2 linked regions of the Arabidopsis thaliana genome follow. The protein of the gene in region 1 interacts with the protein of each later gene in a biochemical or structural test. Each region holds a gene or a part of one and is shown in the gene's direction. Other genes may lie near its edges.

Region 1 (15,871 bases):
AGCTCAAGATACAAAGCTGATTAAGGTTTTATAAAGGGTCATAGTTGTTACACTTGCTCTTTCTTTCTCATTGCTAAATTGGTTTTGTTGAGAGATGGATCTTTGTTAGTTCAAGAATGTATCGCTGAATAATAGAAGTGTAGACTTTGTTTTAGTGTGTTGCTTTTGATCTTGGCGCAGAACTTTGTTCATTTCTAATCAAAGCTTGTTGCTTTGGCTCCTTCATATCGGTTTTGTTGATATCATGATCTTTGAGTAGCATTGCATTAAGTAGAAACGATTTGATTCAGAATTATAGACAATTGGTCAGGGTCAAATGATTCTAAGTTCTTAATCTTGTAACCTCTTTCAATGGGATACTTCAATCGTAAGATGAATCCGCGATATTCAGCTACGTTGTTTGTAGCTATTTCCTAGACCTTGATGCAGTTTACAAGTCTGATTGGATATGGATGCAGAAACTTCACTTCATTACAAGTTTTCTTAACATTGTAACGATAACTTCATACCACTCTTCTGTTCTTAGTTTTTAATACTGCTCCTGTGTCAGCTAGACCTGGATTTCCCTTTGATGAACCACTAAACTTTATAAAGCATGTTTGCTTTCTGGTCTAGAGTCACCTATGAATACTGTTGTTATACACCCAAAAAAACACTTATGGATGTAGGCTTCGGATTAGCGAGCTCTTTCAGGGAAGCAACTGGACCAGGAAGCTGAAGGATGTTCGTCCAGTGACGCAAGAATTTGATAGACATTATCTGGCTCGGAGGAGGTCACACGAGAGCCTATGCTCTATCAGAAATATGTCTCATATTTGTTTTGAACTAGAATATATGATAGATGCAGTAACCGCACTTCATTACAAGTTTTCTTGAAGTTGGAACAGTAACTTTATTGAATGAAACTTCAGCAAGAAAAAAAACATATTATTGAATGAATTCATACAACTCTGGTTAGAGTTTTCTCTAATCCGAAATTGAAACCGATTAAAAGCCGAGTGAAAATCCGGTTTGTATTACCTGCCAAGTTTCAATTTTTAAGTCTGAAAATGTAGTTTATGAACGTTGCTGTCTCCACAAATTGATGAAGATGTAGAAAGAAAAAATAGCATTTCCCCACGTAACGTTATCACCTATTCATGTAACACTTTTATAAAAACAAATCGAAGATGGCTCACTACTAGCAGTTGATGAAAGATTATATCAAAATTTGATCACTTGTTAATGATATCATTCATCATTGTTTGAGGTTGAAGCAACTTTAGCCGCATACTTGACTAAGACGCCAGTTAATAGAGCCTTCTCCTTCACCTTTAACCTGTGAATCATAATTGTCGAAATCAATCAATTTGAGTAGAGATTCTACATTGATTAGCAAAAATTGCTGTATGCTCTTTACCTCTTTGATGATCCAGGGATTTCTATCTTTGTCCCCTTTTTGGCTTGGCCTTTCACAAGAATCTTTGTCTTCTTCTTTTTCTCCTTCTTCTTTCCTTCAACTCTAGCGGGTTTTGCTTCTGGTTTATCAAAGCCAACTCCTCCACCCAAGAGTTTTTCTTTACCGAGAAGCTTTTGCTCTAGCCTACGGATTCTATCTACTCTATTTTCTTCTGAGGATGACAATGAACTGTTCAGAGGTTCAAGATTGTCTTCAGCAACTTCTTCTTCATCATCCCCATCAAGTTCATCATTCAAGAGTGTTTCTGCTACAGCTTCCTCAGATTGTTCATCATCCAAGTGTGTTTCCGCTGCAGCTTCCTCAGATTTATTCACCTGGAATGAAACTAAAGGTGTCTCTAGTTCCTCATGTTCTCTTATCTCTCGCTTCACAACTTGTTTCTCAAACTTTAACTTGGTATTCGAATCACGTGTCATTTCAATGGGAGAAGATTCTATGCTACTAGAGATATGATTCCGCTCATCGTCTTCCACTTCTCTTTCATCTACCTCTTCTTCTGAATCATCCGATTCTTCCCCTGAACCCAACAAAACCTCTTCTTCAACAACATCAGCACTAGAATCTCCTTCAAGACCAGAATACGGAAGCTTCTGCACCTTGAAACCGTTATCTAAGTACACTTCCTTCGATACAGAATCATCAGAAGTAAACTCCACAACCTGACATTTGATTTGCTTTATAACCTTCCCAAATGCTAAGCTCTGTCCCGTGAACTGTTTCACAAACCTAAGAGAAAAAAATCAAAACTTTGCCTCATTACCACTTAACTATAAACACCACAAGTCTCATACCTGTTTGCATCAATCTCAGTTTTGAAATCAACATGAGCAAATCCTTTACACACAGGATCCTTAGTCTTCTTATTCCCAGACACAGCTGGTGTTATACTCAAAACGCCACTTACTTCTTTAAACGCAACCTTAAGATCTCTATGAACATTCTTCTTCTTAGGAAGATTAGTCACACGAACACGAAACCCAATTTGAGTTTCTCCAGTTCCTTTACAACACAACAAAGCTAAATAAGATTCCAAACTATAACTCAATTAACAAAAAAAAGAAGAAAAGACGAAACCTTTGAGGAGATTATCGTCACGCTTAAGCTGTTGAGACTTGAGAGGATCATTCTTAAGCTTATTGAGATTAGCAGCTTGAGCTTTCCAACTTTGCTCAATTTCGTCGAGCAACTTATCTTCAATTAAAGTTTCGTACTTTTTACCTAAACCAAATCCACGAGGCTTTTTCTCTAACCATTTCTTCATCTTATCCATTGGTAAGAACTCTCCTTCATCTTCTTCTTCTTCTTCTCCTTCATCTTCTCCATCAAATTCACCCCAATCTTCATCATCTTCTTCATCATCATCGTCTGACTCCACAATAACGGAATCGCCACTTCTACGCTTGTTTACAGCGAATGAACAAAACCCATTACTCCTTTTTTCAATAACTTCTCGAAAGCTCTGTCGAATTCTATGAGAAATTGAGATATACTTAGACGTAGTACGCGCAGAAGAAATCAGATACACAGAACAAGAAGAAGAGGATGACTGAAAACGAGAGAGAGAATGAGAATGAAGCAAAACGGAGTTGCAGAGCGAAGCTCCGTTCATAGCTATGTGTTTTCTTTTCGTTATCCTCTTCTTCGCCGGAGAAGAAACTGAGTAGTCGCAACTTGCAAACAAAGCGACTTCAAAGAAATCACATAAATGGGCCTCTTACGGCCTTAATAAAAAGCCCATTACTTTGGAATACGATCCATTAGACCCATAAGTTACTTTCTGGCCTCAATCATACTCTGTCATAACTTGATGTAACACCATAAATGATATGTTTGCTTGCTTACATTTAGCATGACTGACCAATAATTTATATGGAATCGTACGTAATGGATTTTATTGAAATATGTATGAATATGTGAGACAACATCTTTCAAAGGTCCCATGTTTTTATGAACTTCATGGTCATATTGATATACACTTTTTTGTGCTAATACTGTTTTGATTAGCTGTGACAAATCAAAGGACCCAGCTCGAGTCATGAATGGAAGTTGTGAGAATTTATCAGGAAAATAAAAAAAAAGACAGAACAAAAGCTGAAGATAATAAGAATTAAAAAGTAATTTGTAAAGTTAAAAAAAAATAAAAACAGAGCAGAAAATACAAAAATGCTAGGCTGTGTGTAGACCCAATAGAGGGATGGGGATTAAGCTTTGTATATATTTACGTGTCTATTTTGGAAAATGGACCATTCTTGATTTGAAGTCATTAGATCTCTTCTTCTCAATGGGACCATTTCTTCATCCATGTTGGTCCGTTACACATGTGTGTGTTTCTGTAGTATAATACGTATCTTATATATACTTATAATCATACGGTTTATGACTTTTAGATTTTTTTGGGTTACACTTACATATATATGTCGTCTTAGGATTTGGTCTTAAATATCACCAACGAATAATCAATCTATAACTTAAGTAGTACAATGAGATATAAAATATTTATATCATTGAAATAAATGCAACTATACGTTAGTATTATATAGTCAAACATGCGCAAGACTTTAACATTTTAATAGGCTCCCTATGATTGTTGTTAATTAGTCTTCATAAATATTTAATGTTAGGTTGAGTTGGCCTACACTATTGAGTTCTAAAGTCAGTCAAAAGTCAATACAATATAGTTTTTCTGGTTGCTATTTCTATCATCTTTTCGGAAGTTTAGTAACTTTACAACTTTGAGGATATAAACATGTTTAGATAATGTCACTTATACACTTATATACTATATAGATTGAAAGTTTGAAACCACGATAGATATCTATAATTCTATATGACTAAGAAAAAGAATTTTACATTATAGAGTTTTTCATTAAAGAATAGCCTCAGTCTGTCAAGCCGCCATAGTAGTTAAATGATCTCGACTAAAGTTAATAGCTAAGATATAGACCAAACTAAAAAACTTAGTGGATAGTTAGATAAGCAGCAACTTAGGCACTATAACAATGATAATAACTACATAAAGCTTTTGAGTGTACTGTGTACATAATAAAAATTTGTTCGCAAATAGGTGCCTATATATTATCAAAACAAAAAGTGAGTTTATAAGATATGCTTTGGAAACAGAAAAAAACTTGATTTCCCAAAATTAACGAAATAATTCACATTTAGGTTGAAAAACGTATATGTGATTCATTAATTATTGGGGACACATCTTCACTTCTATATTAAAAATAGTTTCACATGTTTTGGGCATATATAGACGGTATACAAATGTAAATACTAAATATAACTAGATAAAGTCAAAGAATAGGATGTACTATAGTCGGTTTTTAACTAAGTGTTTGAAGTGATATCCTCTTAAATTTATTACAGTCATATTTTTCAATGTAATATCCTACGAATTCCATTTTAGGCTTCTTCTTGTTTTCATCAAAACAGTCCTCAGTTTTTATGTTTTTTTTCCTTCTATGCATGTCCCATTATTATTAATATTTTTGGTGATATGTGGTGTATGTCCCATTATTATGTGTTTTAAGTACGAATTATTTTCGTACCATTTAACTTTTTATATAGTTTTGACGAAGTGATAATATGATATAAAATGAGAAATACATGAACCATCGAAAACTATTTCCTTAAACTCTAAAGGAAATTAACATAATATATAAGGATGATTGAATTTTTACATATTTACATATATTTTTATGAGAAATATTTTTTCCATATTTAATGTATAGAAAAAATAATTTTAATACCAAAATTTGTAATTATATTTTTTTTTTTTTTGTATCGTTGTTATGTTATTACTTTTTGTTTTAATGTTAGATTATTACTAGGGGCTGGTTTAAATCCTCATCTTGTTTAAATTATAGTTTATGTATTTATTACGTATTATATAAACACATAAAAACAAACTAACTGAAATTAATTGTTGACGTGGAAACATATATCTTAGAGAAATGATGACATGTGACTGAATTTGATCGGAGCCTGTATTCCACTAAACAAGAAAGATAAGGAGGTTACTTAAACAAAAGAAGAAAGAAAAAAGAGAATCGAGACTAGCTAATAGAATTATTTGTAACAAGGGACAGAAATCGTGGTATAGCGAGTCATAATCAGCCAACGCCGACCAAAGTCCAAAAAGATTAAAGATGAAAAAAGGGTCCCTTTGAACATTTTTCGTGTGCAAATCTCGATGGCAACTCGTATCAGATTGTTTAGAACTAGTGTGTAATATTAATTTAGAGGAATATTTTCCTAGCTAGGTTTTTTATTTTTGGGATTTTGCTTAACTATACACTCTAATAATAAAAAGTTTGATTGTGGAGATTGTGATCAATATTATGGAGATTGTGAAAACTGAGCTATAAATTATAGTCAAAAGAAACTCAAAACCATACATTTTTATATTAACAGCTATTTTGCTATGGTTATATGCTTTTTTCAATCCATGCAAAATAACATGTTTTGGAGATCATTTTTTTTTTTTCCAAACAATTCAACCTTCAGAAACTAAATAAAATTACTTCAACCAAGACCAAAGTGGAAATGAGAAAGCAATGATCTTTAGTTACTGTGTGCACAGTGTATGTGAAAAATGTCACTATTCATCACTCATCATGCAAGTGCTTGTTGATATGTTTGATTAGAGACTGAAAAATGTGAAAAAGTTACAATTCATGTTGTTATACATAAAATTGGAGTCTGGCGAAAAAATCGATCAATGATCAGTGTATGAATATTATATAGGCCTCATTATCATTCCATTGAAATTGGTAGCTTCAATGATCTGAGTTCACCGATTTTTCAATGTTTTGATTATTCATTTTCAAGTTCTCCTTTAAAAAGAGGATTCTAGAAATGTTTCCTAAAACTAACTCAATGTAGAGAAAAAAAACATATATTGCTGAAAATGACTCGACCCACTTGTTAACTATTCATTATATTTCTAGTAACTCAACATGGACTCATGATCATCATTGTATATAACAAAAAAAAATGCATTATTATGATTACATATGCAAGAGTATATCAATAGGGTCCGAGTTGACTATGCTACAGGAGAACGAAAAAAAACATTTCTTAACGAGTAGTATCAATTAATGTGACGATGATAGTATAAGATCATGTCTAGTGATATCATACGTACCATATAATTAGATCTGAAATAACCATTCAACAACGATCATTGACTATAAGGCAATAGCTCCCATGAATCGTCTTGATTTTCTTTAAGAAAATAAGACATTAACAAAAATGACGAACCCTACCACGAGAATGTAGTCAGTCTGATAAATTGTTGTAGGTTGGGAGGTGCATATTTTCCCTCCTTTCAAATTTCAGTTTCTTGACTTCATTAATGTTAATATAAATAAACATATACTGCATGATAAAAATGTTAATTTAACTGTAAATGTGAATGCAAATCTGAATGTAAGCCATATGTTTTAAATATTGTCTACCTAAACAGAGAAATGAATTAGTAGCCCAACCTAGCCATAACAAATAAATAATGAAGAAGGTCTTCTTCCGCCGAAGATACCAAAAATATATTATCTTCTATTTCAAAAAGTATCCCATTTGTTTCTAATTTCTATGGTACAATGTAGTTGTTGAATTGTAATTTTCTCAATGTTAATTTCGTTATCTACGTAAGCATTGTCAACTATTTACATAGTACATACAAGTGATAGTTATATATTAGCTCTTCCATAATTTTTAATTCTTATCAATATGAAAATATTGACAAATTTATACAAATCTGCATAGAAAACACATACAAAACAAATATGAAACAATGTTAAAAAAAAAAAAAAATATGAAACATTTTTTCTAATACACCTGAAAACTAAAATAAGGGGTAAATATATTAGAGGTAAGCGAAAAATCTACTACAATCTAAACCGAGATCATCCCAATGGTATAATTAAAGTCTAAAATCTAAATCGAAGGAGCAAAGTATTTTGTAAGGCACACGTGAAAGAAAGTAACTACGGGAGTGATTAATAAAAACGGGCCAATGATTTAACACTTTTATGGCATAATTAAACCAAGAAGGGACCAAATAAATATGACATATTGATACAAAAAGGAATGTGAAGAAAATCTCCGGTTCTACGAAAAGGACTTCCACTACTCTTTCCCACACGCTCCAGACCACTGTTTGCTTTCCTCTGATTAACCAATCTCAATTAAACTACTAATTTATAATTCAAGATAATTAGATAACCAATCTTAAAATTTGGAATCTTCTTCCCTCACTTGATATTACAAAAAAAAAACTGATTTATCATACGGTTAATTCAAGAAAACAGCAAAAAAATTGCACTATAATGCAAAACATCAATTAATTACATTCGATTAAAAAATCATCATTGAATCTAAAATGGCCTCAAATCTATTGAGCATTTGTCATGTGCCTAAAATGGTTCAGGAGTTTTACATCTAATCACATAAAAAGCAAACAATAACCAAAAAAATTGCATTTTAGCAAATCAAATACTTATATATATACGTATGATTAAGCGTCATGACTTTAAAACCTCTGTAAAATTTTGATTTATTTTTCGATGCTTTTATTTTTTAACCAATAGTAATAAAGTCCAAATCTTAAATACGAAAAAATGTTTCTTTCTAAGCGACCAACAAAATGGTCCAAATCACAGAAAATGTTCCATAATCCAGGCCCATTAAGCTAATCACCAAGTAATACATTACACGTCACCAATTAATACATTACACGTACGGCCTTCTCTCTTCACGAGTAATATGCAAACAAACGTACATTAGCTGTAATGTACTCACTCATGCAACGTCTTAACCTGCCACGTATTACGTAATTACACCACTCCTTGTTCCTAACCTACGCATTTCACTTTAGCGCATGTTAGTCAAAAAACACAAACATAAACTACAAATAAAAAAACTCAAAACAAAACCCAATGAACGAACGGACCAGCCCCGTCTCGATTGATGGAACAGTGACAACAGTCCCGTTTTCTCGGGCATAACGGAAACGGTAACCGTCTCTCTGTTTCATTTGCAACAACACCATTTTTATAAATAAAAACACATTTAAATAAAAAATTATTAAAACCTCAAAAAATCTCTGTTTCTTGTTTATATATCCAAACAAATGAATGTGTTAAACCTTCACTCTTCTCTCCACACAAAATTCAAAAACCTCACATTTCACTTCTCTCTTCTCGCTTCTTCTAGATCTCACCGGTTTATCTAGCTCCGGTTTGATTCATCTCCGGTTATGGGGAGAGAATGAGGAGTTACCGTTTTAGTGATTATCTACACATGTCTGTTTCATTCTCTAACGATATGGATTTGTTTTGTGGAGAAGACTCCGGTGTGTTTTCCGGTGAGTCAACGGTTGATTTCTCGTCTTCCGAGGTTGATTCATGGCCTGGTGATTCTATCGCTTGTTTTATCGAAGACGAGCGTCACTTCGTTCCTGGACATGATTATCTCTCTAGATTTCAAACTCGATCTCTCGATGCTTCCGCTAGAGAAGATTCCGTCGCATGGATTCTCAAGGCGAGCCTATTCACTTTTTTTCTCTACCTCTCATTTTTTTCAATGCTAAAATACGCCGCCGGAGAGTGTGTAGACGCTAAAATACGCTGATCGAATCGTTACATGCAGAGAATCTTTTTTTTTACAGTAGTGTGGTATTGTTTGGTTTACAGGTACAAGCGTATTATAACTTTCAGCCTTTAACGGCGTACCTCGCCGTTAACTATATGGATCGGTTTCTTTACGCTCGTCGATTACCGGTAAATGTTTTAAAAACGTCAACGTTAGTTAATTCTATTGTCTCTGTTTTTTTATTATATTGATATGACAAATAACAACCCCAAAAAGTCAGTTTTATTTCCCTTTTTTTTTTTCAATGGATCGATTTGTTTATTGACTTTTCTTCAGAAAAAAATGAAAACGACTAAAAATTTATTAGAGCAAAAAATTATAATCGGTATAGAATAATTTAGTAGAAATTAATCTTATATTGGAATGTACGTAAACGATAGAACAGGAGCGGGCTGGGGAACTTTTTTTCGTTTTTTAATTATTTTATTGAAATTTATATTTTCGATAAAAAATTACATTGACGTTTACATAATAATAGTATACTTTTGCAGTAAACTTTCCACTTCATATATCGGCTTTATTGAAAACTTTGTAATCATAGTGTTAAAACGCTCCTACTACTATATAATATTTTAAATTAATTTTGTAATTAAACTTAATAGAGTATATAGTAATCAATGATTATATTAATCAGCTTTAATTTCTGTAAAATAGGAAACGAGTGGTTGGCCAATGCAACTTTTAGCAGTGGCATGCTTGTCTTTAGCTGCAAAGATGGAGGAAATTCTCGTTCCTTCTCTTTTTGATTTTCAGGTAAACATATATTATCATTCTTTCTTTAACATTCTGAATTTACTCTGTTTTTTTAAGAAACTTTAATTTATGTATCTCTGTATAATGTAATGTAGGTTGCAGGAGTGAAGTATTTATTTGAAGCAAAAACTATAAAAAGAATGGAACTTCTTGTTCTAAGTGTGTTAGATTGGAGACTAAGATCGGTTACACCGTTTGATTTCATTAGCTTCTTTGCTTACAAGATCGATCCTTCGGGTACCTTTCTCGGGTTCTTTATCTCCCATGCTACAGAGATTATACTCTCCAACATAAAAGGTACGTAATATTTGTATGATATATGATCCATAATGTCATTTAGGTAGCACATTTTTGGGTTGGTTCTAACACATGACCAATTAGTACAGAAGCGAGCTTTCTTGAGTACTGGCCATCGAGTATAGCTGCAGCCGCGATTCTCTGTGTAGCGAACGAGTTACCTTCTCTATCCTCTGTTGTCAATCCCCACGAGAGCCCTGAGACTTGGTGTGACGGATTGAGCAAAGTAGGATTTGTTATATCACGTTTAGATGGAACAAGGGAGTAACAGATTGCTAATTAATGTCTTTTGGTTATATTTGACTTTCAGGAGAAGATAGTGAGATGCTATAGACTGATGAAAGCGATGGCCATCGAGAATAACCGGTTAAATACACCAAAAGTGATAGCAAAGCTTCGAGTGAGTGTAAGGGCATCATCGACGTTAACAAGGCCAAGTGATGAATCCTCTTTCTCATCCTCTTCTCCTTGTAAAAGGAGAAAATTAAGTGGCTATTCATGGGTAGGTGATGAAACATCTACCTCTAATTAAAATTTGGGGAGTGAAAGTAGAGGACCAAGGAAACAAAACCTAGAAGAAAAAAAACCCTCTTCTGTTTAAGTAGAGTATATTTTTTAACAAGTACATAGTAATAAGGGAGTGATGAAGAAAAGTAAAAGTGTTTATTGGCTGAGTTAAAGTAATTAAGAGTTTTCCAACCAAGGGGAAGGAATAAGAGTTTTGGTTACAATTTCTTTTATGGAAAGGGTAAAAATTGGGTTTTGGGGTTGGTTGGTTGGTTGGGAGAGACGAAGCTCATCATTAATGGCTTTGCAGATTCCCAAGAAAGCAAAATGAGTAAGTGAGTGTAACACACACGTGTTAGAGAAAAGATATGATCATGTGAGTGTGTGTGTGTGAGAGAGAGAGAGAAGAGTATTTGCATTAGAGTCCTCATCACACAGGTACTGATGGATAAGACAGGGGAGCGTTTGCAAAAGATTTGTGAGTGGAGATTTTTCTGAGCTCTTTGTCTTAATGGATCGCAGCAGTTCATGGGACCCTTCCTCAGCTTCATCATCAAACAAAAAAAAAATCAAGTTGCGAAGTATATATAATTTGTTTTTTTGTTTGGATTTTTAAGATTTTTGATTCCTTGTGTGTGACTTCACGTGACGGAGGCGTGTGTCTCACGTGTTTGTTTTCTCTTCAAATCTTTTATTTTGGCGGGAAATTTTGTGTTTTTGATTTCTACGTATTCGTGGACTCCAAATGAGTTTTGTCACGGTGCGTTTTAGTAGCGTTTGCATGCGTGTAAGGTGTCACGTATGTGTATATATATGATTTTTTTTTGGTTTCTTGAAAGGTTGAATTTTATAAATAAAACGTTTCTATTATATGAAGGAAAAAGTACATTGAACTCAATAATGGTCGTGGAGAAGGTTAATAGCTACGTGAGAGGATAATATGAGTAGTGGTGAGATTTGATTTTGGTGTGGCCTGTGGGAGCACGAAGCATGTGAACATGTGTGTTGTGGATCGAGTGTATGTTTTATTGAACGACGAACGTAAAAAGACAAAAGAAAATTGTATTTGTTTAAGACCAAAAGAAAAAAAAAAGTATTTAATGTTCAAAATGTAATAACCTTCCTCATTTTTGCCATAATTAAACACATTTCTTTGTTTTTGTTTTTTTGGGCAAAAGATTAAGGGTTTTATATACCTATTTTAACAACAGTAAATATACAAAAGAAAATCAAATTATGAAAAAAACAAATTACAAAAGAAGTAAAAAATAGTGGTTAATTTCTCTCTTGATTTTAGTAAAGAGGAACAATTAATAGGAGCAGTAGCATACATGTGATGTTGATCTGTCTCCATGTCAGAGAAAGTGGTCTCACCACGAAACCATAACGTAGCTACACCGTTCTATCTCTCTCGAACCCCTCAAACATTAGCCACACAAAAATACCATCTTTGACTATCCATTTATATATGTATGCACACGATTTTACAAGTAAAAAAGGAAATAAGAAGTGAAAGAAAAAGAAAAAAACTTACTGCAAAACAAAACATTTTACAAAAGTGTGTTTTAATCTTATAACTAAGTTGGTTTGTGCCGACAGAAGTGCACCCCACGTCGAGAAAATGTCTCCATCCTCATAATTCTAGTTGATTAGTTTAGTAATGTGATTTATTTATTTTCCATCGACGACATTATTTGTTCACCCTCCAATGAACTAATCACTCGTCTCATAGTCATATGCTTTATACTAATCATTTACTTATCTATCGGATTACAACGTTATCTACTTTCTATAAATCCTCATGACGCTCCTCTTCTGTTTATTTATTATTTTGGTTTACCTCACTTTTCCCATTTTTCAACCATACACTGATAATATTGACATAAACAAATTTTAAATCCAAATATCAAACATGCACTGTTACCATTTTGATTCCACTCAAATGTACGTAAGGAAATGTGTTACTGCTTTTACTCTCGTACTAGTCACTATTTATTAACTTTTTCTTTCCTTTTACAAAAGGTTGGCATGGTTTTGTAAAATTCATGACATGAATTATGAATATAAATGGTATGTTGTAAGAGCAGAGCATCAATATGACATGACAACCTGAACGTGAACCAGATGGAGTTATAAATAAATACGTACAAGATAACTATTACAGGAATATAAATACAAAATATCTTTATAAGAGAAAGAATAGAAGCTTCACCCACTACTATTTAATCTAAAATGATGCAAAAGTAAAGAGAGAGTATGGTTAGGTGATTAGCAACTGCTAAATGCTAATTATAAATAAATAATGACCAGCCCACACATTTGGACATATTAATCATCGGGGGATTACCTTTATCATTGTTTATTAACTTTTTATTTATTTTAATTCTCTTGCGGGTTTTGATTAGGACACACGGGGACACAAAGGGACCTAAGCTTATATATCAGCGTATAAAGACAATCATCTTTTAATTACTATCTTAATTGATCCTTGTCCTGTTATTTGGTACACGCGTTTGCCATTAGTTGCATACCTTTTTGTATCATACACTTCACGAGCACTTGGTTTCTCAAACAGAATATACATTAATTTTCTTATAGAATAATGGATAATGACAACTAATGGGAATGGGGTAGAGACAAAACAATGAAATTATATGACAGGAGTTGCATTCATTTTAATTTATAGAAAATGGGCAGATTTATTAGTATTACTTTACATACACATGTAGTCATGTAGATGTATATGAGTTTGTATCGTGTATATAAGCGCATGTAGATCATGTGGATATTAGTAGGAATAAAAACAGAATATATAATACGCATATTTTTAACCAAATCGCCTATTTATACATTCGTATTTCATAGCTATTTTGATCATTTCTTCATAATTATACACTACGTACATGTTACCATTACATGCAATCTATATCAAACTCACGTTACTCACCTCTCCGACTACTAATCAAGTACGTAATGGGATTTAATTATAAGCACATACAAAAGCATATTTTAACATTTGTTCTTAAAGCGAAACAGAAGAAAAAAGAAATGCGAGGGAATATATGCTAGAACATGTAGAAACAAAGTTTGCACATGGATTCTTTATTTGCCTTTAATCTTTAGAGAAGAAGATACACTATATATTCATTAAAATAATCAAACTTTGGATGCTTGAAAAGTAGAAAGAATTATAAAGTGATATATGAGATGATATTTAGTGAAGGAATCATTAAAATAAAAAATAAAAGAAAAGAGAGAACAGAGAAGAATCAATGGTGGCATGGCCCGACTCGTAGGGCGTGAGAGAGTGAGTGAACTTAGTTTCTCGAGGGAGCGTCTCTCATTTGTATTTTACTTTAGAAAAAAAATCGTGGGTTTGCTTTTTGTTGTTTATGGTCACAAACCAAGATTTAGTCACTATTGCACTTTCATATCTCTAGTGGACAACGACGTTTCCTCCTTCCCAAAGTCCTTTGTTTCATCATCAATCACTCTTTACCTAACCCAACCTATTCATGTTGTTTACAAGGACACTCGCACACACGTGTGACCGAAGTTCGAACCATATAACCAGGCACAGTTAGAATATAGTTTCGATTCTTTTTGATTAATGTAAAAAGAGTGTAAGGAAAAAAGAGGATGAACGTGAGAGAAAGGAAATGAGCATAAAAGAAAACCAATGAGCATTGAGCACAGTGACTGAAAGCAATAAAGTAAGATTGTAAGTTTTTTTTCAGATTGAATTTTTTTTACAGAGACTTCAGCAAAGGGATGAAAAAGTAGAAAGTAGAAAGCGAAAGGCATTTTTTTTTTATGGGGGCGAAAGCAAAAGCGGATTAGAGAGGAGAAAGCTTTGTTTTAGTTAAAGAAAGACAAAAAGGAATGTAACACTCTTTTAGATTTGACATTAAAGAAGCTTGCGAATGTGACTTTGTAGGAGCCATATATCAATAATACATTGAATCCACATCATAGCTATAAATTAGTCATTTCTCTAATCACCATGCTTAATAAGATTTTCAATATGGGCATTGTTGTGATTTGGGCTATGACTTGGGAAAAGGCTAAAGACCCATTTGTAAAAAGTCGGTGACTTCACAATTTGTAGATCAAGGTCTTAGAATTTCACTATCCTAAGTCTTAACTAGTCCAAGCCATCCATTCACTAAAGCTTCAAGTCTCAAATCAGTGTAACAACAACATTCTCTGTGTTCTTGTCAATGTCAACACCAAAATTAAATCTCTGCAACTCAAAAATCTCTAAATCTTCTTCTCGTGAATCGAATTTACACATGGTATCACATCTAGGGTACTTCTAGGGATAAGAGACTTACGCTATTGCTCTATGTTCATTGAACAACTCCTTCAATATCCTCAGGTGTCACTGAGTTGCAACTTCTTTCTCTCCTGCCCCAGCTGTGACACAACAAAGAACTGTATAAATATGACATGAAACGCAAATATTACATTTATTACTTGGTATTGACACTTACCACATGCTTTACTCGTTCATTGACCATACGGGGTCCTCCATAGACACAATCAGAATGATAAGGGCTACGAATAAACACATCTCCCATTACCAGCATTTCTTTGTTCACCCAGCGTATAGGAAGCCTGGAGAATGCAGCATCACATAACAATGAATAAAAAAAGAGTATATGCTAAAAGTCAATAGAATGATTATCATCATAAGCATAAAACCATTTGTCACCACGGTTCTTAGATGCAAAACAGGGAAAACTCAAGGTCCACAACATAAGTAGCCTCTGACCATGTCGAGTTTTATATAATGTAACTCACCCCAAGGTAGCAAAAACTACATAATTACTTTCTTTGACAATTTTACTCCATTGTAGCTTATACTTTCAGCAATGCCATGACAAGTAGTCCAAGTGTCCAACATAAATAAACTCTAGTAAAGATTTGTGACTTGATAGCAGCAACAACTGAAGCATAGCTAAAGACACAATTCGTCAAATATATAGTCCCAAAAAGCTTGCATCTTCTAAAAACCACAAGCAATAAAAACGCTATGCCATGACAAGTATGAAAACTCTAGTAAAGATGTGAGATATGATGCTAATTTACAGGCATTTTCACAGTAGCAACAAATGAAGCAAAGCAAAAGACACAATCAACCATAGCGCAAATATTAGTTCCAAATAACTTACATCTTCTGGAAACCAAGAACAATAC
Region 2 (15,871 bases), 2.3 Mb from region 1:
ACTTTTGATAACAAGTGATAACGATGCGATTCAATTGCAAACGAGGACAAAAAAAATATCCCATTACACATGATCATTTGTATCACACCCACAAAAAATGGAACACGTATATCGTCGTATTATCAACCTTTTCGTTGGTAGTGATTAATGTAGTTATCTTTTAAATGTTGGTTACCAAACTATGAGATAAAGCAAAACAATGTGAATACTCTTAAAACAACGAATCTCATGTGCTAAGTAAGTAACATATGGTATTAAACATTTTCACACATTGTCTTTTCTATTTTGACATATATGTACATATATTCACACATTGTCATGTCTGAAGCATGGCAATCAGATTGTTATGTAATGGATCCGAGACATGGTCAACAAGATTTTGTACAGGACCTTTTCCAGTGAAAGCAGCCTGTGCATAAAATCCAAGCCACGCGACCATCGCCAATCGTCCATTTTTAATCTCTTTAACCTTAAGATCTTCAAAAGCTACAGGATCCTCGGAAAGATTCAAGGGATCAAAAAGCGTCCCTCCAGGATAGTTAATGTCTCCTGGCAAGTATATTCCCAGTGGCTCTAAGGCCTCAATGCCACAGTATCTTGCGTATTCCGGTCCTACCTGTATAGCAAAAAAACGTTTTTGGTATAAGAGAAATGTATGAGATAAGGAAAGCAAGTCTCGAGGTATATTACCATCAAGAGTACTTGGCAAATGGCAATTACAATGACACCTTGGCTTCCAGCTACATGAAGCCCTGGGATGCCGAGGTACTCCAATGTCTCTCCCTGGTGAAAATGAAAGCGTACACGATCATGCTACTGACTAGTACTTTGATAGTAGATGGTGAAAAAATATGTTTTTGAACAAATAGAGCTAAGTAATGAGCGAAACCTGAAGCTTGGAGTAACCGACTCGCCACCATACGGGTTCAGCAAAATGGAAAGTTCCAGTGAGATCAAATACTTCCGGGATTAGAGCACCCAATGCTGCAAGCATGGCCCAACGAGCATGAAGTATTTCAAAGCTGCAAAACAAGCAATAGGACTAAACTACTATTTACCAGAAACATGATCGACTTGAGTGAATTTCATAATGTCCACTCACATGAATTGGTAGAAAGAACAAACAAACAATCATGAGAAACAACAACAGTCAACAGTTAGTTAGAAGAATCAGGACAGCCTCTAATTACAGAACAAGCTAAGGTTAGAAATAGAAAGGAGAAGACTCACTTGAAATACTTATCAAAGGTCAAACGATCTTTGCCAAGTCCTGCAATGTCGAAACCATAATCCCCTGGAAGTTCTCCTGTAAGGTATGGAGGATAATCATATGGGATTGGACCAAACCAACGGGGACGTTCTTTTCCATACCACTTGCTGCACACTTACAGGAACAAACCAAGGAAATGTTTGATCCATATAGTTACAGTAACATAGAACTTTTGTATGTATCTATCAAATAATCGTTGCCGCAGAAAACTGAATTTATCTACCATTTTATCAAACATTGCCTTCACAAAAAAACACTGATAAACTCAATCTTACCTGTCGTTTCTAGCTTCCTGAGCTTTAGACTTGAATCTTGAAGAATTCTCTACGGCTTCCTTCTTTTTCTCTTCTAATCTCCGCCGTAGAGAAACTCCTATTGAGCTATTTGCAATTGCTTTAACCGCAGTGAATGGAATCGCCGAGAAAACCAACACTCCGGCGAGCTAAAAACAACAGCAAAGTTTCAAAAAGAACGAGGAGAAAACAAAATGATGATTTCTAGTAAGAAGATAAATTCAACAAAAACCTCTTGCCACGAAGCTCTGCAAATCGAACGGGACTTTGTCACGGCAATTCTATTACGAGGCTTGGACACGAGAATCCTCGGAAGAGAATGAATTGACGAATAACTTGAGGAAAGTGATGAAAGCTTCTCCTGAAACAGTGCCATGGAATTTGGCTCACCGTCAAATCTTGATTTGGCTGTCTGTTTCACTCGAGAAGAAGAAAGCAGAGGTGAAGTTAGAAGAGCAAGAAGCGGTCTCTAATTTTCCACAAAAATTAAAAATAACCAAATTTTCAAAGTTATGGATCTGGCCACGTGTAATGATATTCGCCAGTTCTTTAAAAAGCCCGGACTCGGCGGATCCAGATTATAGGCCCAATTAAGTAACAGGCCACATCGTTAGATCCATAAACAATCAAAACAACCGTTTTGTTCCAAAGCAAAAGATCCAAAATGCAGAGTTTCATTCCAAATCAATCGGTGTAAGTGAACACGATGAACAACGGTTTCAATGGACGATTGAGATTTATTAATCAGAATCAGTCTCTGTTCTAAGTCCTCTGTTTTGAGATTAGCTACAATCATTAAAAACACGAAAACTCAAATTTTAGTCTTCGTAGATTCGACACTCGTCGGTCTCTGGATTCTCCTGGCAGAAACTCTCGAGCGGATCCTGATTCAGTAACTTCAGCTTGATCCTCAGATCTGCTCTGGCTTGACTCACTTCTTCAACTTCGTCCCACGCAACTCTACACTCCTCCGACATCTCTTCCGCCTCGCAAACCTCTGTCGCTTCCTTCACTTTCTCCTCTATCATCTCCGATAGTTTCTCCTCCCTCATCTTCGTCCCCATATACTTTGCCGTCGCCTTCGTCACCATCATCAGGCTGAATTGTCTCGGTACTGTTTCTCTGAAACGTAAAATATTTGATCCAGTTGAGACGGGCCGTCGCTCCCTTTGTGACGGAAGCAACACTCTCCCATGACTCGCCGTCGCCGAGCCCGAGATCATTTCTACGAATTTCGTTTCTCTTCTTCGTCTTTCAGAAAATTCTTTATTCACCTTTTATTATTAATGGTTTGGGCCGTTTGACTATAGTTATCGTAATTACAAATAAGCCCTCCAATCATCAATGTTCGATTGTCATTTCACGTTTTTTTTTTTAATGCGGCATTATCCAAACTACACTCATCAAACATTTGACTTTAGAAAAAAATATTATTTTCTTCTCATAAGGTAGTTGAGATAAGCACAATGCAAAGCTGACCCCTTTTACCTACTCCTTTTGTTGTTCTAGGTGTTCACCAACTTTGATGTCCTTTGTATCATCATAATCTTATGCTTTTATTATATACTCCTACTCTCATCGTAATATCAAAGCTTATTGTTTTTGAGGTCTTATCACACTAGGCCTATATTATGAAAATAACAATTACCATTAATATACCTAATCCCATCGATACTGACTGATGAAATTCAGTTGGTAGATCTTTAAATAATGACAGGCCTTTCCTACGGTCAACAGAGTAAATAAGAAGCCTTATTAAAAGCCCAAATCAGGTCAAATAATAAACAAATCCATTTTTTTAAAGATCCATGTGCATAATAAATATTTATTTTCGATGGGTAGTTTATCAATTATCAGGCAATAATAATACTTGGGGAAGAGGGAATGAGAGAGTCGTATCTTTTACTATATGTTTGCCTTTATTCCTTTGTAATTACCATGTAAAAGCATATCTCCCTATTGAATGCTATATTCCCCAATATTTCCATCTTCTTTTTTTTTCTCTCGCTATTTCCGTATTTACCCTTCACCTATCCTTTGGTGCTCATTCACTCTCCCTTTTAGCATATCATCATATCCTATTTTTTGCTTTTATTTTTTCTTAGTTTGAAAGTTTGGTCGCACTTAGGTGGGGAATTTGTCAACTCAAACTAAACCAAAACCTAACCGCATTTATAAACTAAACTTAAAACCAAACGTACACTCATACAGTTCGATAAATTTGCAGTCTAAAACCTTTTAAAACCCATAAAATATGAACACCAAACCGAATTAGACAATTTGGTCACTAACCAAACATTACCAAACCGAAAAAGGTAAGGGTATATATTTATATCCAATGGCATTTTCGTAAATAACCAGAATAACAAGGGCTGATCGAGAAAAAGCGTGGACTGAAAGAAAAAAAAGAAGAAGACCAAATTTTGGCTGTTTGGTTGATCGTATCGCCCAAGTCCCCCGCATACTATATAAATACTTTTGACGGGCCAAAGGAAAAAACTTTCTCTGAATCTTCTCTGAGTCTCTCTGACACTCTCACCAACCTAATTTCTCACAAAAACCTAAAAAGTTATCGCCCATGGATTCAGATTTCGGAATCCCCAGAGAACTCTCTCCTCTTCAACAACTCCGATCTCAGTACCACCCTGAGCTTCCTCCTTGTCTCCAGGTACTTCTCCTTCTTCCTTTTATTTGTATATTCGTATCTTCCTTAGATCTCTTGCTTCCTTCTCTCGTTCACTGTCTCCAATGTTTGGATCTCTATGTTTTTCATTGATATCATCTCTTCTGCTGTTTCGTTTTCTCACAATTTCGTCACGTCGCGAATATTTTGAATCCCTTCGAGCTGTTTATTTTGATTGTCTACTCGAGGAACTTGCAATGTTGTTTCCGTTCATGCAGATCTGTTTACACTGTTATTATAATCGGGATCTAGGGTTTATGATCCTTTTATACTTACTCGTCTGATTTAACATTTCAGTTTAGTGTGGTAGGTAGAATTGCCTTTCAACGTGAACTACCATGATGGAGTGATTTTCTGGAACAGTGATTGAATCGTAGTTTTTTTTTTGGTTGGATGATTCGTAGTTTAATTCGTTATTGATTCAATGTACATTACAGGGGACTACTGTCCGTGTTGAACTTGGTGATGGAACCACTGTGGCAAAGGCTGGTGATGCTCATATCATTGCCCGTGCCTTCCCACATACTCTAGGCCAGCCTTTGGCTCATTTCCTCAGGGCAACTGCTAAAGTTGCTGATGCTCAGATCATTACTGAACATCCAGTGAAGAGGTGTGCATGCATCTGCATATTTATAGATCTCTGGAATTTCTTGTTCTGTGGTTTTGTTGTTGGTTAGAGCTAGTTGTTTTCTATTGTAGGGTCGGAATTGTGTTCTGTGGAAGGCAGGCTCCTGGTGGGCACAATGTAGTTTGGGGTCTATACGAGGCTCTCAAAGTGCACAACGCGAAGAACACTTTGCTTGGATTTTTGGGTAAGTCCCTGTTTTTTATCTGTTAGTTGGTTTTCTTATTTCTGTAACTTCATTGTTTGCTTACTATAAAGTCACATCTTACTTCCGTATTGATGTGTGCCTGGTCATTAATATGAAACTTTGGCTACCTGTAACAGGTGGTTCTGAAGGTCTCTTTGCCCAGAAGACCCTGGAGATCACTGATGAGGTCCTCCAAACTTACAAAAACCAAGGTTGGTGGTTGGTGGTTTGATTAAGATTATTCAGAACTTTATCTCTGCTGCTTTCTGACATATGGCATTTAAATGTATGTCGTATTAGGTGGCTATGATATGCTTGGAAGAACCAAGGATCAGATTAGAACAACCGAACAGGTCAATGCTGCACTAAAAGCATGCACGGATTTGAAATTGGATAGCCTAGTTATCATTGGAGGTACCTACTTTTCCTCTTTTTCGGGTGTCTGTTTTAGTAGATGTTTTGTTCTTAACTTGTGTAAATATGATTTTTTAAGTTCATCCCAGAATTTTCTAAATCAATGTTTTTATTTGTTAGGTGTAACATCAAACACAGATGCCGCTCATCTTGCTGAATTTTTTGCTGAAGCAAAATGCTCAACAAAGGTCCTAATTTCTTCCCAGTTTTTCTCTTTCTTTGTCTGATCTTGTATCATGAATCACTTTAGTGACATTTGCACTTCACCTGATATCGCTAACAGCAGAAATTACCAATATGTTTCAGGTAGTTGGTGTTCCGGTCACTATTAATGGAGATCTTAAGAATCAGTTTGTGGAAGCAAATGTTGGTTTCGATACTACATGCAAGGTAACTTTGAAATCTAGCGCTTTTTTTTCTTTTACTTTGTAGGTATTGTAGCCAACATTCTTTCATTTCGCTCACCGTTCTTTTCAGGTTAATAACATTTTAACTCGTTATTTAGACTAATATCATTCTACTGTGTACAGGTGAATTCTCAGCTCATTAGCAATATCTGCACCGATGCCCTTTCAGCAGAGAAGGTAAATGTTGATTCCTTCCAAACGTTATCATGTTTTAGAAAGATTGCTAGGACACTCATAACCAACCTATATTTTGTTGGTTAATAATGTGAAATTTATTATGGTTTGATAATTGCGAAGTTGGGTTCCTTATGATTCTGTTATCAAATTTTCTTCTCAATAACATACTTTCCTCCGTATTGCCAGTATTATTACTTTGTCCGTCTCATGGGTCGGAAGCATTCACATGTTGCCCTTGAGTGTACACTTCAGTCTCACCCCAACATGGTATTCTTCCAAATTCTGAATATATTCAATCGATAGTCTTGGCAATGCTGCATCTAGTTTCTCATTTGCATTTGATGCGATTGTCTCAGGTGATACTGGGTGAGGAGGTTACAGCATCTAAGCTCACAATATTTGACATCATAAAACAAATCTGTGATGCTGTTCAAGCAAGAGCCGAACAAGGTCTGATAACTAAAACGAGCTTTTGGTATGTTGGAAGTGATGTCTTTTGCTTGTTCCCTAACTTTATTGATAAACTGTCTATTTGTATCAGACAAAAATCATGGAGTCATCCTAATTCCTGAAGGGCTTGTTGAGAGTATTCCTGAACTCTATGCTCTGTTGAAGGTAACGATTCAATACTGGCAAACATTTCTATTTATCATTTAATGTGCTATTTTTTATTGTTTCTTGAGTTCCAAAACATAGTAAGCATTTACATGTTGTTGTGCGATGCAGGAAATTCATGGATTGCTTAAGGAGGGTGTGCAGGTTGATAATATTTCTACTCAGTTGTCATCTTGGTCATCTGCTTTGTTTGAGTTTTTGCCTCCATTCATTAAGAAACAGGTTCTAATTCTTTGACATGGTACTTTTCTTTGTTTTTTCTCACATGTAAACGAGTATGTGTTCTTATGATAAATTGTCTTCTTTGTTTCTGCAGCTACTTCTCCATCCCGAGTCTGATGATTCTGCTCAGCTATCCCAGGTAAGAAGAAAGAAAATGATGGAGTTACTGTGCTATAAAAAGTTGGAATTCTAATTGCTCATTTACTTTCTTCTTAGATTGAGACGGAGAAACTTCTGGCTTATCTTGTGGAGACTGAAATGAACAAGCGCTTGGTATGTTGCACATCTTTTTCACTTGTCACAATCCATTTTTTTCAAATTTTTTTGAATAACCTTGCCTGAATATTCAAGTTGTCCCTAAAACTAAGTTTTGAAAATGACAGAAAGAAGGAACCTACAAAGGGAAGAAATTCAACGCTATCTGTCACTTTTTTGGTTACCAAGCTCGTGGATCTCTTCCATCAAAATTCGATTGTGACTACGCCTATGTATGTGATCGCCAAACTAAAATGCTATTGCAACTTCAATATTATGGACATTCACACCATTGATTATAACTTTGATGCAGGTTCTTGGACATGTATGTTACCACATCCTCGCAGCTGGTTTGAATGGTTACATGGCGACAGTGACTAACCTGAAGAGTCCTGTAAACAAATGGAAATGCGGGGCTGCGCCTATCTCAGTTGAGTTTTGTCTCTTATTTATAAGGCTAAAGTTGTTTAGTATATGTGTTGATTTCTGACTTCAAGTTTCAGTTTTACTGACCCCAATCTCTTTCTCTGTTTAACCTTAGGCAATGATGACGGTTAAGCGTTGGTCCCAAAATTCTGGTTCTACTACGATTGGTAGACCTGTAATTCATCCAGCTTCAGTTGACTTGAAAGGAAAAGCATACGAGTAAGCTTTTGTTCCTCACTCATTAGACAAAGATTAGAATGAACATGAAATCAAGTGATATAATTTGTCAAATGATTTTGCAGTCTATTGAGACAAAACGCGCAGAAATTCTTGATGGAAGATATGTACCGAAACCCAGGACCAGTCCAGTATGATGGTCCAGGTGCAGATGCAAAGGCGGTAAGTCTGTGTGTAGAAGACCAGGATTACATGGGGAAAATCAAGAAGCTGCAGGAGTATCTTGATCAGGTGAGGACGATTGTGAAACCGGGTTGCTCTCAAGATGTTTTGAAAGCGGCATTGAGTGTTATGGCCTCGGTGACTGATGTTCTCACTACGATCTCATCTTCTTCCACCAGCGGTCAGCAATTTGCTTAAAGATTTTTTTATTGTTTTGGTTTTCCCTTTAACCATAAACTTCATTAGCTCTCTCTCTCTCTCTCTCTTTCCATTTTGAAGTCGTCTTCTGATTTACGCAAACTTTATTGTTCAAAGTTGAGTTTAGGAAAAGGATATTCAAAGTTAAAGGATTTGAGTAATGCTTTTTTAATGAAGAAGTCTGTGTTTGGGTTCACTAATCTTCTTGTTGCCTTCTCGATCATAATTTGTATATGGTGCGACCAAATCAAAGTACCTACGGATATATATGACAAGTGGACACAAATGAATAAATGTAAAAATTAAAATTAAATACTATAGTACGTGGCAAATTAAAAAAAGGCGTTTATGAAAAGACCGCTCCTCCACGCTCCAGTTTGAATTTCGAAAAATCAGTCCGTTGTGAAAGCCCAAGAATAAGGATTCTATAATTTCAGGTCTCATTTAATTATATAACCTATCTACACTTTGATCTCCGACAATTCACTTTCCCAATAAGAACCAACTGAGAGAGAGAGAGCGCCGGAGAAGAAGAATTTTAGAGAGCGATGGACGAGGGAGTTATAGCAGTTTCCGCCATGGATGCTTTCGAGAAGCTTGAGAAAGTTGGTGAAGGGACATACGGGAAAGTTTACAGAGCCAGAGAGAAAGCTACCGGGAAAATCGTCGCTCTAAAGAAGACGCGTCTCCATGAGGACGAAGAAGGCGTTCCTTCCACCACTCTCCGCGAGATCTCCATTTTGCGAATGCTCGCTCGTGATCCTCACGTCGTCAGGTTAGGGTTTTACCTCTGATTCGATAAAATTGCCCCCATATTCTCGATCTTGTAGTCGCGTTAGGGTTTATATAGTCGATTTCTCACTATCTCGCTTGTTTTCCAGATTAGATAGATCTCAATTTCAAATCGTAGTAATCAGTTCGAAGAGTCTACTAATTGTTAGATGATTTGGCTCTGAGAAACTGTTGATAGATGTTTCCCTAGAGTTTGATCTGGATCGCTGTATCAGTTAGTTTTCCAGTGATTGCAAAATCAATTATATACGGAAACTTTATTTGTCATCTTTTTCAGGTTAATGGATGTTAAGCAAGGACTAAGCAAAGAAGGCAAAACTGTACTGTACCTGGTTTTTGAATACATGGACACTGATGTCAAGAAATTCATCAGAAGTTTCCGTAGCACTGGCAAGAACATTCCAACCCAAACTATCAAGGTTTTTAACCACCTTATTACTGTCATCTCTCTTTCTCGCTTCATTTGTGCTCACTTGAACCAAACATAACATTCTGAAAAGTTATTTGCAGAGCTTGATGTATCAACTATGCAAAGGTATGGCATTCTGCCATGGTCACGGGATATTGCACAGGTGAATTGTTCTCTGGCTTTCCCTTGTTTTCAACTTCTAAGTGAGAATGATTTTAGATAATAACTTGGAAGAGAGATTTCTTCTTCTTACTATTTCTCCTTGTTTCAAAACAGAGATCTCAAGCCTCACAATCTCTTGATGGATCCCAAGACAATGAGGCTCAAAATAGCAGATCTTGGTTTAGCCAGAGCCTTCACTCTGCCAATGAAGAAGTATACCCATGAGGTAATCAATGTTTGACACTGCTTCTTGCACTTATCCCACTTTGTATGTATTGTAGAACTTATGGTTTTGAATCGGTTGTTCATTGCAACAGATATTAACTCTTTGGTATAGAGCTCCAGAGGTTCTTCTTGGTGCCACCCATTACTCTACAGCTGTGGATATGTGGTCTGTTGGCTGCATATTTGGTATGTGTTCTTTTCAGACTCGTTGATTTCACTAGTCACTGCGATATCATCTTAAGTTACTAAACAACAACAATTAACATTGTTCCTTCACCATTTACAGCTGAACTTGTGACCAACCAAGCAATCTTTCAGGGAGACTCTGAGCTCCAACAGCTCCTCCATATTTTCAAGTAAGTCTTTGTTGATTCTTCACCTTTTACATGACAAACATAAGAAAACCTTTTTTCATTTTGCCGCTCTTTCCGGTGTACAACTCAGGTTGTTTGGGACACCCAATGAAGAAATGTGGCCAGGAGTGAGCACACTCAAGAACTGGCATGAATACCCACAGTGGAAACCATCGACTCTATCCTCTGCTGTTCCAAACCTCGACGAGGCTGGAGTTGATCTTCTATCTGTAAGTCTAAAGTTTATTAACTAGCTACCAAAACAAACTCAACAGACGAACTAATTGCGTTTTTATCTTCCTGGAACAGAAAATGCTGCAGTACGAGCCAGCGAAACGAATCTCAGCAAAGATGGCTATGGAGCATCCTTACTTTGATGATCTGCCAGAAAAGTCCTCTCTCTAAGGATTTAAAATCTTCAGTTAGTATCTTTCCAAGTTTTATGGTTTTTCTAGTTTTGCTTCTTTCAAGCATATCTCTAGTGTGCTGCTTCCCCCTCTATGAATCATCCTTTCTTTAGCATAATATATCACTTCTGATTGTTGTTTCTTTCTATTCGAATATTTGGATTAACGGCTTTAATGTTCTTAAGACTATTCGCAATTATAATGATCCAGTCATCTGGAAGTCTAAGAATAAGTTCTTGAATAAATGGATACATATAACAAGATCGAGTGTGGGGATTTATGTCACAAGCCACATGAAGAATGTTGGCCAAACAGTGAGTGAAACTGCAGCCAAAGAGTAAGTCCAAAGCATAATCACAGAGCATTCACTCTCCCCAGCGCCGAATAATTGGGTCTTTGTACCTGAAAAGTAAGGGAAACTAGTGATGTATCTTATCTGAAAGAAGTAACTGTATTTTAAGGAGTTGGTTTCAAGCCATGCACCTAGATTCATGGCTGGTGGGACAGCATACTGAAGAAGAAGAACGAATTGGTACAAGGGTTCTGAGGTTACTAAATCCAACTTGTATGCTCCTCTCACGAGTAAAACACCGCTTACAGGTAGCAAAATGTAACGAGCTACCAAGACGCCGATAATGCAGGAGTTTTTCATTTCTGAACTCCTCACTTCCGACCTCCTCATTCCTTTAAGTAAGTTTCCTCCAAGAATCAGGGTCATAGCAGGAATGGCCCCATCTCTTTAGCCAAAAGAAACAAGACACAGAAAAAGTGAGTTTTTCAAAGAGATGAATCATTTGTTGAGCTACTTCTAAGATAATGAGACTATTCTACAATTACCCCAATAGGGTTAATGAGTCTTGAATCACACGGAAAGGAGCTACGGTGCCGATTATTAGGTTCCTTAAAGGAGTAATAAGCCCAATCACAAGCGCGATAATCTGAGAAAACAGAAGAAGAAGAGATAAGAAAGATATACACTAGTGTGAATGTCTTGAATGTATATAAAAAAGGTGCCACTGAAACACAAACTGCAGCAATAGTTGCTGGAGCAAATATTGACCCAAGGTTGACTTTCTTTGACAGAGAAACAACTCTTTGCTTGACTTCTTCCCACCTCCCAACCTGTCAAACACACACAAAGTCACTGCCAAAATGAATAACACTGATGATGATGATGAAGAGTTGTTGATTAATGAGACCTGATGGTTGTCTTCTTCTTTTTCTTCTTCCTTGGAAGAAATTAGTTGGACTTTGCAGCTGTCATCATAGTTGGATTCAATAGAGTGTGTGTGTGTTTCAACGGGAGAGTTTGATAGCACACGCATAAGATTTATATATAAGTCCATGAGTAAACCGTTCCCGCCTGATACATACCAATTAGTGTCATGTTTATACACACTGATAAAAAAAGCCTTGAAGAGAGACAAGAGAGGAAGAACTAACAGTCATGGACAGTGTAACATAACCCATTCCGTATTTCTCGCAACTCTCAGAATCTCCAAAGGGACCTCCTTTCTCCTTGCAAATGGCTGGGATTATAATGAGAGGCATAGTCCCCAAATTCCCTGTTTTTGGTTTCATTCATCATCACATTCATAAGCAAAACATACGATACAAAGAAAGACAAAAAGATTCTAAAATCATGTCAAGGTTTGTACCAGAAGCACAACAACTAATGATGAGACCACGAAGCTGTGAAGGAGGCTTAGTTATGACAATAACAATCCAGCCGAGTAACGAACCAATCATGAATGTGAGCAGAACATTAACCGGCATAAACCACCTGCAATGCAAATCCTCATTTTCATTATAACAAGTGAGCTTAAAGATGATGCAAAATTTGATATTGACTTACATTTTGACCAAGCTTTCATATGTAACACTATCAGCTAAGCGGCTTCCAATAAGCGAAGGACTAAACACATAGAAGACAATCTATACACAAACAAAAGAGAAATTTAAGTTAACTCTTTTAGATTATTTGTTAAAGAAGAGAGTTAAAAAACGGACGTTGTTCAAATGTTTGCGAGCATCATGACCAAGAAGATTGACTGTGTCGAGAGCCAAATAAAATCCAACTGATGTTATCAACAAAGTCTCCACAACTGGTTTCGATGAAGCTATGAACAACTCCAAAAGCTTCATCTCTACTTCCAAAAGTTAGAATCTGCAAACTTAATCCATATATTACATGATTTGAGATAAAGAAACAATGAACCAAACGACGATAACTTATGGAGAAATCAAATGAAATGGTATAGTTACCTTTTTAGAGGAAGAGTGAAGGAGAGATATAGAGTAAGTATTATTTTTGTTCCGTATGAAAAAACCAACGTATCATAACCACCAACTCTTTATCTGAGAAAAAAAGAATACAAATTATAAGGGAACCATCGTCATGCCTTTAGTCACAGCGACTAGGAAACGTGCCATGTTACTTTGTGGTTCTTGCTGAAGATGTGGATATGTCGCATTGTGTTTACCGTATGGTAAAGAACAATAACGTTGATTTTAAAAAAACTTCTGTTGTTGTCATCTATTTTCTGAAGAATCGTTTCATAAACTAAAATGTTTCAGTACTATAATTTTTGTTTTTCCACAGTTTCACTAGCTACAAATTTATATATTACATATAGTATATCTTGGAGTCTAGCATGCACTTTAGCCCTGATGTGGAAGGTTATACATCAAAATCTCAAATATGACGTGATGAGACATTAATTGATCTTAGAGTACGATTAGGTTTGAGATACATGGACACAGATGTAAAGAAATTTATCACAAAATCCACCAATTAGAGCTTTTTGTCACCACTCTTTTCTCTCATCATTTGTACTCACTTGACTGATATGTAATAGTCTATTAAACCAAATGTAACAATCTGAAATTTTTCTCAGGTGTACCAAACTAAACAAAGGAATAGCTTTCTGCCATGGCCACAGTCACAAGTAGTCAAGTAGATTGTTCTCTGGTTTTACCCTGTTTCAAGAGAGAATGATTTGGGTATCATAACAGAGATTTTAAGCCTCACAATCTCTTGATGGATCCCAAGACAATGAGGATCAAAATAGCAGATTCTTGATGAGGCTGGACTTGATCTTCTATCTGTAAGTTACAGACTGTAAGTCCAAAGTTCGTATCAAAAGACTTATAAGTATATGTTCTCTATTATACTTGATCCAATCATCTGGAAGTCCAAGAACAATTCTTGAATCAATGGAACAAAACAATACATGTAACATGATGAGTATGGGGGTCTATTCTAAGCTACAAGCCACATGAAGAATGTTGGCCAAACAGTGAGTGCAATCGAAGCCAAAGAGTAAGTCCAGAGCATAATCACTGAGCATTCACTCTCCCCAGTTCCAAATAACTGAGTAATTGTACCTGCAAGAGTAAGTGAAACTAATGAAGTGATCTTATCTGAAAGAAGTAACTGTATTTTTTAAAGAGTTGGTTTCAGAGCAATGAACCTAGATTCATGGCTGGTGGGACAGCATATTGAAGAAGAAGAACGAATTGGTATAAGGGCTCTGATGTAACTAAATCCAACTTATATGCTCCTCTTACGATTAAAACACCGCTCATAGGCAGTAAAACGTAACGCGCAACCAAGACGCCGATAATACTGGACATTTTCATTCCTGAACTCCTCAAACCTTTGAGTAGGTTTCCTCCTATAATCATGGTCATTGCAGGAACTGCCCCATCTCTTCAGCCAAAAGAAACAAGACACATAAGAAGCTTTCGAATGAGTGAGTTACGTTTTTCCAAGAGATGATTCATTGTTGAGCTAATGCTAAGATAATGGTCTAATTTTAGCTGCAGTTACCCCACTAGAGTTACTGAGTCTTGAAGCACCCGGAGAGGAGCTTCCGTGCCGATTATTAGCTTCCTTAAAGGAGTAATGAGCCCGATCACAAGTGCAATCATCTGGAAACAGAAGAACAAAAAGGGTAATTAGAAAGATTACACTAGTGTGAGTGACGTCTCAAATGTATAAAACAGAGCCATTGAAACACAAACCGCAGCAATAGTTGATGGAGCAAAAATTGTCTTAAGGTTGACTTTTTGTGACAGTGAAACCAATCTCCGCTTGACTTTTTCCCACCTCCCAGCCTGTCATATACACACAGTCACTACCAACTTTGATAAATGAATAGTTACTGATCATGTGCATATGTGATGAAACCTTTTGGTTGTTTTCTTCTTCCTTGGAAGAAATAAGGGGAACTTTGTAGCTGTCGTAGTTGGATTCAACAGAGGGAGGGGTTTCAACGGGAGAGTTCGATAGCACACGCATAAGATTGTATACATAAGTCCATATGTAAATAGATCCCATCTGATACGTTACCAAGTACTGTCATGAGACATACTGATTACAAAACCTTGAAGAAGAAGAAGACAAAGAAGAAGAAGAAGAAGAACTTACAGCCATGGAGAGAGCAACATAACCCATTCCATATTTCTGGCAACTCTCAGGATCTCCAAAGGGACCTCCTTTTTCTTTACAAACAGCTGGGATTATAATCAGTGGCATATTCCCCAAATTCCCTGTTTTGTTTCATTCATTACCACAGTCATAAGCAAAACACAAGTTAAACAGATTCTGAAATCAGAAACATTCATGTTAAGGTTTGTTACCAGCAGCACAACAACCAAGAATGAGACCACGAAGGTGTGAAGGAGGCTTAGTGATGACAATAACAATCCAGCCAAGTAATGAACCAATGATGAATGTAAGCAGAACATTCACCGGCATGAACCACCTGCAAATCCTCATTTTCATTAACCAAAGAGCAAAGATTACAGACTCAAGATGCAAAATCTGAGATTGACTTACATTTTGACCAAGCTTTCGTATGTAACACTATCAGCTAAACGGCTTCCAATAAGCGAAGGACTAAACACATAGAAGACAATCTATATACACACACATCAAGAAAATGATAACAAAACAGAGACATATTAAAGTTGAATCATTTAGATTTATTAAAGAAAAGAGTAAAATTAAGTGATAATTAACTGACGTTGTTCAGATATTTACGAGCATCATGACCAAGAAGATTGACTCCATCGAGAGCCATATAAAATCCGACTGATGTTATCAACAGAATCTCAACGACTGGTTTTGATGAAGTTATGAACAGCTCCAAAAGCTTCACCATCTTTTTACTATCAACGCGAGAATCTGCAAGTATAAGTTAACTGTAGCAGAGGAAACAGAGAATCAATGGAGCTGCAAGAACCGCCGAAGAAAACAGAGCAATCCAAGAAGGGAATGAATTTTTTAACCGATTTAGAGGAAGAGAGAGATTTATCGTCAGTGGTACAGCTAGATGACAGTGAGAA

What was found.
Region 2: the proteins of CYCD1;1 (region 1) and CDKB2;1 form a complex in vitro, tested with the Arabidopsis thaliana proteins (one study listed by BioGRID).

Annotation. Positions count from the first base shown.
Region 1 is NC_003070.9:26,431,284-26,447,154, forward strand, and holds CYCD1;1 (CYCLIN D1;1), read left to right. Parts: upstream 1-8,272; 5' UTR 8,273-8,369; coding exon of another isoform or gene 8,370-8,513; 5' UTR 8,514-8,731; coding exon 8,732-9,004; intron 9,005-9,156; coding exon 9,157-9,243; intron 9,244-9,769; coding exon 9,770-9,868; intron 9,869-9,963; coding exon 9,964-10,165; intron 10,166-10,254; coding exon 10,255-10,391; intron 10,392-10,475; coding exon 10,476-10,697; 3' UTR 10,698-11,724; downstream 11,725-15,871. Other genes in the region: AT1G70200 (RNA-binding (RRM/RBD/RNP motifs) family protein), read right to left, coding at 1,231-1,318, 1,400-2,185, 2,251-2,458, 2,534-3,068; AT1G70209 (uncharacterized protein), read right to left, coding at 8,370-8,513; AT1G70220 (RNA-processing, Lsm domain-containing protein), read right to left, coding at 15,047-15,088, 15,166-15,289. UniProt on the Arabidopsis thaliana protein: May activate cell cycle in the root apical meristem (RAM) and promote embryonic root (radicle) protrusion.
Region 2 is NC_003070.9:28,715,200-28,731,070, reverse strand, and holds CDKB2;1 (cyclin-dependent kinase B2;1), read left to right. Parts: upstream 1-8,520; 5' UTR 8,521-8,719; coding exon 8,720-8,946; intron 8,947-9,240; coding exon 9,241-9,382; intron 9,383-9,473; coding exon 9,474-9,535; intron 9,536-9,648; coding exon 9,649-9,760; intron 9,761-9,851; coding exon 9,852-9,945; intron 9,946-10,045; coding exon 10,046-10,115; intron 10,116-10,203; coding exon 10,204-10,342; intron 10,343-10,421; coding exon 10,422-10,517; 3' UTR 10,518-10,743; downstream 10,744-15,871. Other genes in the region: AT1G76570 (Chlorophyll A-B binding family protein), read right to left, coding at 317-616, 691-783, 890-1,022, 1,231-1,377, 1,546-1,712, 1,796-1,939; CP12-3 (CP12 domain-containing protein 3), read right to left, coding at 2,382-2,786; AT1G76550 (Phosphofructokinase family protein), read left to right, coding at 4,142-4,231, 4,684-4,856, 4,946-5,058, 5,196-5,270, 5,359-5,472, 5,593-5,660, 5,779-5,862, 6,003-6,056 and 10 more; AT1G76530 (Auxin efflux carrier family protein), read right to left, coding at 10,797-10,921, 11,003-11,256, 11,357-11,457, 11,549-11,641, 11,719-11,931, 11,963-12,084, 12,178-12,302, 12,375-12,454 and 1 more; AT1G76520 (Auxin efflux carrier family protein), read right to left, coding at 13,782-13,906, 13,993-14,231, 14,352-14,452, 14,546-14,638, 14,712-14,861, 14,952-15,073, 15,164-15,288, 15,363-15,442 and 1 more.